Linked DNA regions of Xenopus tropicalis. The protein of the gene in region 1 purifies or fractionates together with the protein of each later gene. This does not show direct contact. Links are inferred from orthologs where the notes say so. Each region holds a gene or a part of one and is shown on either strand. Other genes may lie near its edges.

Region 1 (4,382 bases):
TAATCACCTCTCCTGGGGCAGGCGGCGGCGCTGCTGTTGTAGAATGCCAGTATCTGCCTGAAAGGAAAGTGCTAATCCACCAGTGAGGGCTGGGAACAGGGAGACGAATCCCAGCGACTATGGCTCTGTGAGCAGGTGACTCCTAACAGGGGTAACATAAGGTCTGTAGCCCACTGACATGTCTGTACATGGGGCAGTACAATGGTTACTTACTTCTAACTTGTCTGTGTGTGGCACAGACCTACCAGGCCCTATCAGCTGCCCATAGGGACCAGTCAATGTCCCCCTATCAGCTGCCCATAGGAACCAGTCAATGTCCCCCTATCAGCTGCCCACAGGGACCAGTCAATGTCCCCCTATCAGCTGCCCACAGGGACCAGTCAATGTCCCCCTATCAGCTGCCCACAGGGACCAGTCAATGTCCCCCTATCAGCTGCCCACAGGGACCAGTCAATGTCCCCCTATCAGCTGCCCACAGGGCCCAGTCAATGTCCCCAATATGCCCATAGGGCCCAGTCAATATGCCCATAGGGCCCAGTCAATATGCCCATAGGGCCCAGTCAATATGCCCATAGGGCCCAGTCAATATGCCCATAGGGCCCAGTCAATATGCCCATAGGGCCCAGTCAATATGCCCATAGGGCCCAGTCAATATGCCCATAGGGCCCAGTCAATATGCCCATAGGGCCCAGTCAATATGCCCATAGGGCCCAGTCAATATGCCCATAGGGCCCAGTCAATATGCCCCTATCAGCTGCCCATAGGGACCAGTCAATATGCCCCTATCAGCTGCCCATAGGGACCAGTCAATATGCCCCTATCAGCTGCCCATAGGGACCAGTCAATATGCCCCTATCAGCTGCCCATAGGGACCAGTCAATGTCCCCCTATCAGCTGCCCATAGGAACCAGTCAATATGCCCCTATCAGCTGCCCATAGGAACCAGTCAATATGTCCCTATCAGCTGCCCATAGGGACCAGTCTATATCCCCCTATCAGCTGCCCATAGGAACCAGTCAATATGTCCCTATCAGCTGCCCATAGGGACCAGTCAATGTCCCCCTATCAGCTGCCCATAGGAACCAGTCAATATGCCCCTATCAGCTGCCCATAGGAACCAGTCAATATGTCCCTATCAGCTGCCCATAGGGACCAGTCAATGTCCCCCTATCAGCTGCCCATAGGGCCCAGTCAATGTCCCCCTATCAGCTGCCCATAGGAACCAGTCAATATGCCCCTATCAGCTGCCCATAGGAACCAGTCAATATGCCCAATATGCCCACAGGGACCAGTCAATATGTCCCTATCAGCTGCCCATAGGGACAAGTCAATATGCCCCTATCAGCTGCCCATAGGGACCAGTCAACATGCCCCTATCAGCTGCCCATAGGGACCAGTCAATATCCCCCTATCAGCTGCCCATAGGGACCAGTCTATATCCCCCTATCAGCTGCCCATAGGAACCAGTCAATATGTCCCTATCAGCTGCCCATAGGGACCAGTCAATGTCCCCCTATCAGCTGCCCATAGGAACCAGTCAATATGCCCCTATCAGCTGCCCATAGGAACCAGTCAATATGTCCCTATCAGCTGCCCATAGGGACCAGTCAATGTCCCCCTATCAGCTGCCCATAGGGACCAGTCAATGTCCCCCTATCAGCTGCCCATAGGAACCAGTCAATATGCCCCTATCAGCTGCCCATAGGAACCAGTCAATATGCCCCTATCAGCTGCCCATAGGAACCAGTCAATATGCCCAATATGCCCACAGGGACCAGTCAATATGTCCCTATCAGCTGCCCATAGGGACAAGTCAATATGCCCCTATCAGCTGCCCATAGGGACCAGTCAACATGCCCCTATCAGCTGCCCATAGGGACCAGTCAATATCCCCCTATCAGCTGCCCATAGGGACCAGTCTATATCCCCCTATCAGCTGCCCATAGGAACCAGTCAATATGTCCCTATCAGCTGCCCATAGGGACCAGTCAATGTCCCCCTATCAGCTGCCCATAGGGACCAGTCAATGTCCCCCTATCAGCTGCCCATAGGAACCAGTCAATATGCCCCTATCAGCTGCCCATAGGGCCCAGTCAATATGCCCCTATCAGCTGCCCATAGGAACCAGTCAATATGCCCAATATGCCCACAGGGACCAGTCAATATGTCCCTATCAGCTGCCCATAGGGACAAGTCAATGTCCCCCTATCAGCTGCCCATAGGAACCAGTCAATATGCCCAATATGCCCACAGGGACCAGTCAATATGTCCCTATCAGCTGCCCATAGGGACAAGTCAATATGCCCCTATCAGCTGCCCATAGGGACCAGTCAACATGCCCCTATCAGCTGCCCATAGGGACCAGTCAATATGTCCCTATCAGCTGCCCATAGGGACCAGTCAATATGCCCATAGGGACCAGTCAATATGCCCATAGGGACAGCTGGCAATGCCCCATGTAGGTTAGTTGCCTACTGTCAGTTACCCATCAAACCCGAAGTTGCCCCTCTCAGATGACCCAAGGGGAGGAGCAAAGCCCCCCCCCCCCATAGCCAATGAGCCCACCCGGGCCCCCCTGCGCTTACCGATGGTAGAGATGAAGGTGGTGTTGAAGGCATCGTCCGAGAAGCGGAAGAGCACGCAGGTCTTGCCCACCCCGGAGTCCCCGATCAGCAGCAGCTTGAAGAGCAGGTCGTACGTCTTTTTCGCCATGGGCACTGTTTCCGTCTCACTCCCTCCGCCTGGGGCTGCGGCCTCGGCTCGGCCGGCTCCTCATACACGGGGGGGCGGGGAGGCCCAGCGGGGACGGGACGGGAGACTGTCCGGCCGGAGGGTGCCCCCAGCACCGGGTGAAGCACACGCACACACAGGGGAAAAGAGAAAGAAAGCCGGCGGCCCCACACCCAGCTCAGTGCGCTTCTCGGCTCGCTAAGTGCCGCCTGCTTGTCCCGGCCTCTTCCCACCTTCTCTGAGCCCCTCCTCTCCGGCCTCGCTGGGAGACTCCGGACAAAATGGCTATCCCTCCCACAGACTTTCCGCGTACTCACCACAGCTAGGCGCCGCCCACCGCGGGAGCGCGCAACCATACACTGGCTAAATGCAGGCCTCTCCCTAGGCCTCTGCGCGTCCCCACAGAGCAGGCACCGCCCACCGCGGGAGCGCGCAACCATACACTGGCTGAATGCTGGCCTCTGCGCGTCACCACACAGCAGGCACCGCCCACCGCGGGAGCGCGCAACCATACACTGGCTGAATGCTGGCCTCTGCGCGTCCCAACAGAGCAGGCACCGCCCACCGCGGGAGCGCGCAACCATACACTGGCTGAATGCTGGCCTCTGCGCGTCCCAACAGAGCAGGCACCGCCCACCTTGCGATGCAGTCAACAAAATGGCGGCCACTCCCCTCAGCCTGATGGTTTGCGCGCTACCGCCTGTCTCCTAAGGGATTTTTTTTTTCTTAATCCAACTTTATACATTAGGCAGTTACATGACAATCACGGTTCGGTACCAAAGTCAGACGGGGAGGGGCAGGGTTGCCAGGTTGGCGGGTTTTCCACCAAATTGGGCTACTTATTGGGCGGGTTTCCAAAGTACAAACCCAACAAGGTACAAATTTGGACTGTTTTTGGAGTCTTGGCAGGTTTGTAGTTTGGGAACTAGTCAAGGATTTGTTTCCCCTTGCATCTCAGTGCATGCTGGGTAATGTAGTTTGTCTCTTACAATTAGCCTACAGAATAAGATTAATATAAAACTACATTACCCAGCATGCAATTGGGTAGACAGAAGCTCCCTTTTCTATTCCTCTTTGCTGAAGCTGCAAAACTACAATAACCTCATGGACTGGGCACAGAGGGCAGGGAAACATCAGCCATGCCAGTAACTGGAGAGGAGGCATAGGGCAGGGGTAGTGCATACCTCCCAAAAATTTTGGCCACGCCCCAATTGCCACACCCCATTTTTAAAATAGTTAAAATAGTGCCCACGATGGCCCAATAGACAGCACCCCATAGAAAGTACCCTCCATACACAATGCCCCCATAGAAAGTGCCCCCATACACAGTAGCCCTCCTTACACAGTGCCCCCCCATACAGTGCCCCCCCATACAGTGCCCCCAATACACAGTAGCCCTCCTTACACAGTGCCCCCCATACACAGTGCCCCCCCATACACAGTAGCCCTCCTTACACAGTGCCCCCCATACACAGTGCCCCCCCATACACAGTAGCCCTCCTTACACAGTGCCCCCCCATACACAGTAGCCCTTCATACACAGTGCCCCCCATACACAGTGCCCCCCCATACACAGTAGCCCTCCTTACACAGTGTCCTCCCATACACAGTAGCCCTCCTTACACAGAGCCCCCCATACACAGAGCCCCCCC
Region 2 (3,652 bases), on another chromosome or scaffold:
GTTAATAGACTGTATAAATATTACCCTTTGCATTTTAGATTCAGCACACATCCTGTGTTTTACACTGCTATACCCTATGGCCTAACATTTCCTTTGTTCATATCCATTATATTATGCTATCATTTTTGTTCCAAAGTTCACATTATTTTTCTACCTGACATTCTGTAGACTGTAAACCTTTATGAAGAGACCCTAACCATCTTTGACTGTCAATCTTGTCCTGTATGGTTTTCCTTTAAAAAATAAAAAGCTGGTAATGGGCTGGAAAATTAGATTGTAGTTTGCCTACCTGTTATTGCCCTTCATTAAGTCCCTCATTCTGTTTTCCAGACTGAGTGCCATTTATGGTGGGACATATATGTTGAACAAACCAATAGAAGAGCTGGTGATGGAGAATGGCAAAATTGTTGGTGTGAAATCAGAAGGGGAGGTACGTTGTTATGCATTTATGTTATTACTTTTGCCATGTTTCTGTGCAGGTGTTAGCAATTCTCTGGTAACCGTAATAATGGGAGTACATTATTTTATCCTATATTGATGAAAACAAAGGGATTGTAGAAGATTACCTAAAATGTTCTGTTAAGTATATGAAGCCTTTATTGTTTATTGACCTTAGGTATTGGTCAGCTTGTTTAAATTCTGGACCCTGAAACTGCACAGGTTACTTACTGTGCTCCAACACAGTAAGGGGCAGCTTTATTAAAATGTGAGTTTACATAAAAACTCACCCACGTTCTATTTTTTTTTTCCTTTTGGGATTTTCTAAATTTCAGTTCAACTCTAACTTTCAATTATTGATAAATATGCTTTTAAAAAATCCCATAGGTGTGATGTATTGAGCTCTATTGATTGATGAATCTGCCCCTAAGCATTGTGCTGAACGAAAGTGACCTAATGCAGGACTCTACTCTGTAGAATACAATGGGAAACTATGCAGCTTATCTGTTAGATCTGGCATCTAACGGACATGTGAGAGTCATGAAGTCATAAGGTTATGCATTTAGCTTTAAATAGTGCTTTCTGCCCTATTTTGCAATTTTTTTGCATGGATTGGTTATGATAACGGCAAGCACTGTAAAGTTGTATCTAGCTATTTGTATTTGCTGTAGCAAATAAACTGCATACACTGTTTTTGCCTTATAATTTACTTTAAACTAAACCAAGGACTGTGAATGTTTTAAATATGTAAAGGGCTTCCCCTCTCAATATGCAATTCTCTCCTCCTCTGCTGTGGGTGCTGCATTGGATTTCTTGGCATATGTGGGCTGTAGTAACGCTTGCAGACAAACGCCCTGCTTGTTGCACAAATATGGGCAAGATCTGACATCAGCTCGGGTCAGAACGCTACTGTTAGCTTTCCGAATGCTTCTGCCATATCTTTCTACAGAAGAAAGAAAACAGTGTTTCAATTGCCAAGTAGAGAGTTCACATCTGGGGAAAAATGTGCATTTTTTTCTAAAATTACAAATAATACCATTGTAGCTCTACCTTAAATATGTGAGATATACACAGCCTAATTTGAACCGTTGTATTATGACTTTGGTCTGGCTTCCTACAGTTTTGTATGTTTTTTAAGGATTCACATCTGTACTCTTCATTGAGAGTTAAAGGCATTTCATGGAGATGTGTAAAAAGTAAGCTTGACATTGGTTTCACAAGACTCAGAATTAAAGAAACACAAAATATTTGCACAAAATTAAATTAGATATAAATCAGTAAACGAGTCTGCTAATGCCAAAAGCGAAACATCGTACCAAATGTATAGTGGAGACCCGGCCGTCAATACCCCGGGTCTGTCTCCTAAATGAATGGCAAGCAGAAGAGTCACCAACAAGCAAATCAGTTCAGCATTTATAAAGAGCTCACCGTTGTCTAAAGGTACATTGACCTCACAACATTGTATAAAGTGTCAAGATATAGGACTGTTACTATGTGTCTAACGTGTTCACACATCCTGCTTTTTAAAGTCCGGATCATGCAGCCAACGTATTGGATATTACAATGCGAGCAGGTCAAAAGATACACAAAATACTGTGTGTTGCAATTTGCATACATACGCATGTTAAAATATCTGCCTGTCACTGAACTCTGGAAAGAAGTAGACTGTTTTATATAGGCACAAGTGAAATGTATACGTGCGCCCCAGGGATACGCCCTGTAGTCGCTAACCACGTAGTTCTAGTTGGGTGTGACTTCCATAGTGTGCCAGAGAGAACATTACCCAAAGTTAGAGCTTTACGTGCTACAAACTTATATCCCCCTTGCAAAATTGTCGCTATAAGGGGATCATTGTAAAGAACAGGTATAAGGCTATTGAAGATCCTCCTAATCCTATAAAACTGATTGCTATATGTAGTAACAAAAATCGGTGTTTCTACAAATCTTATTATTATTTATATTTTGATTATTACTTTTATCTATGTTTTTAAGCAATTCCATTCTATCAGTTTGTTATGCCTTAGTAAAGGCTGCTGAAAGAGACCTCATTTTGTAGCCACGATCCATAAACCTATCTCGCAAGAGACAGGCCTGTTCAATGTAGGCCTCCATGGTACTACAATTTCTCCGTATCCTGTAGAATTGTCCTAAAGGGATCCCTCTAAACAAAAGGCTGGGATGACAGAATCAGCCCTTACGAGTAAATTACCAGCACAGGCCTTCCTAAATATAGTTTCAACCCTAAAATCAGAGACAACTTTAAATCCAAAAAGAAAATGTAAGTTCTATTAAACTTGCTGGTGAAGCTCAAATTCAAAGTGTTATTATTCAGAGAATTTACAAAATCCCAAAAATCAATCTCAGATCCCTGCCATGCAAGCAAAAGATCATCCACATAATGTTTATAAAAAATATTGCATATAGAATCCATGGTACCCCAATAAATGTCTCCTCCCTCCAACCCATATATAGGTTTTGCACCCATGGGTGTCCTACACTGGAGGTAAAAAAAAACACCATCAAATTTGAAAAAATTGTTTCACAAGGGCTTTTTTGATTTTGCAGGTGGCACGATGCAAGCAGCTGATATGTGATCCAAGTTACGTTTCAGATCGGGTCACTAAAGTAGGACAGGTCATCCGTGTAATTTGTATTCTGAGCCATCCAATAAAGAACACGAACGATGCCAATTCTTGTCAGATTATCATTCCACAGAATCAAGTCAACAGAAAATCTGGTGAGTTTCACAAGAAGTAGGTAAATTTTGAAATATGTTGCACCAGAGAGAAGCAGGCAGGGGGAAATGAGGACAGAGAGAAGAATTACAGGCCAGGGAAGGACAGAGGCACTAAGGGGCTTATAATATGTGTATGGGGGGCGAAGTGTGTTGCACTGATTTATAATGTAATCACATCAGAAGACTGTAAGAACAAAAACATGTGAGTTTCACAAAATGATTAAAATGAGCTATAGAACTAACACCGGAGTTAAGCAGGCAGAGAAGGAAGAGGAAGCAGCAGAGACACTACAGGGCCTACTAAAAATTTTTTTTTTTTACAATGCCAGTATATATTATGCCTCATTTCTTTTATAACTCCATGTTAATATTTACATTGTGTAGATTTGTTGCAAAGTTGATAGAGGAAAAATGAGCGATTTCTTAGGCTAAACTATGATGGATTAACATTTCCCAGGGAAAGGTCCCCAATTTAGA

The links.
Region 2: the proteins of rab10 (region 1) and gdi2 purify together in Homo sapiens (co-immunoprecipitation; 3 studies listed by BioGRID and IntAct, with this or other methods). This does not show direct contact. The link is inferred for Xenopus tropicalis from reciprocal best matches to the Homo sapiens genes RAB10 and GDI2.

The regions. Positions count from the first base shown.
Region 1 is NC_030681.2:154,267,742-154,272,123, reverse strand, and holds the start of rab10 (ras-related protein Rab-10), read right to left. Parts: upstream 2,861-4,382; 5' UTR 2,713-2,860; coding exon 2,586-2,712; intron 1-2,585. UniProt on the Homo sapiens protein: The small GTPases Rab are key regulators of intracellular membrane trafficking, from the formation of transport vesicles to their fusion with membranes.
Region 2 is NC_030679.2:84,472,922-84,476,573, forward strand, and holds part of gdi2 (rab GDP dissociation inhibitor beta), read left to right. Parts: intron 1-330; coding exon 331-430; intron 431-3,003; coding exon 3,004-3,175; intron 3,176-3,652. UniProt on the Homo sapiens protein: GDP-dissociation inhibitor preventing the GDP to GTP exchange of most Rab proteins. By keeping these small GTPases in their inactive GDP-bound form regulates intracellular membrane trafficking.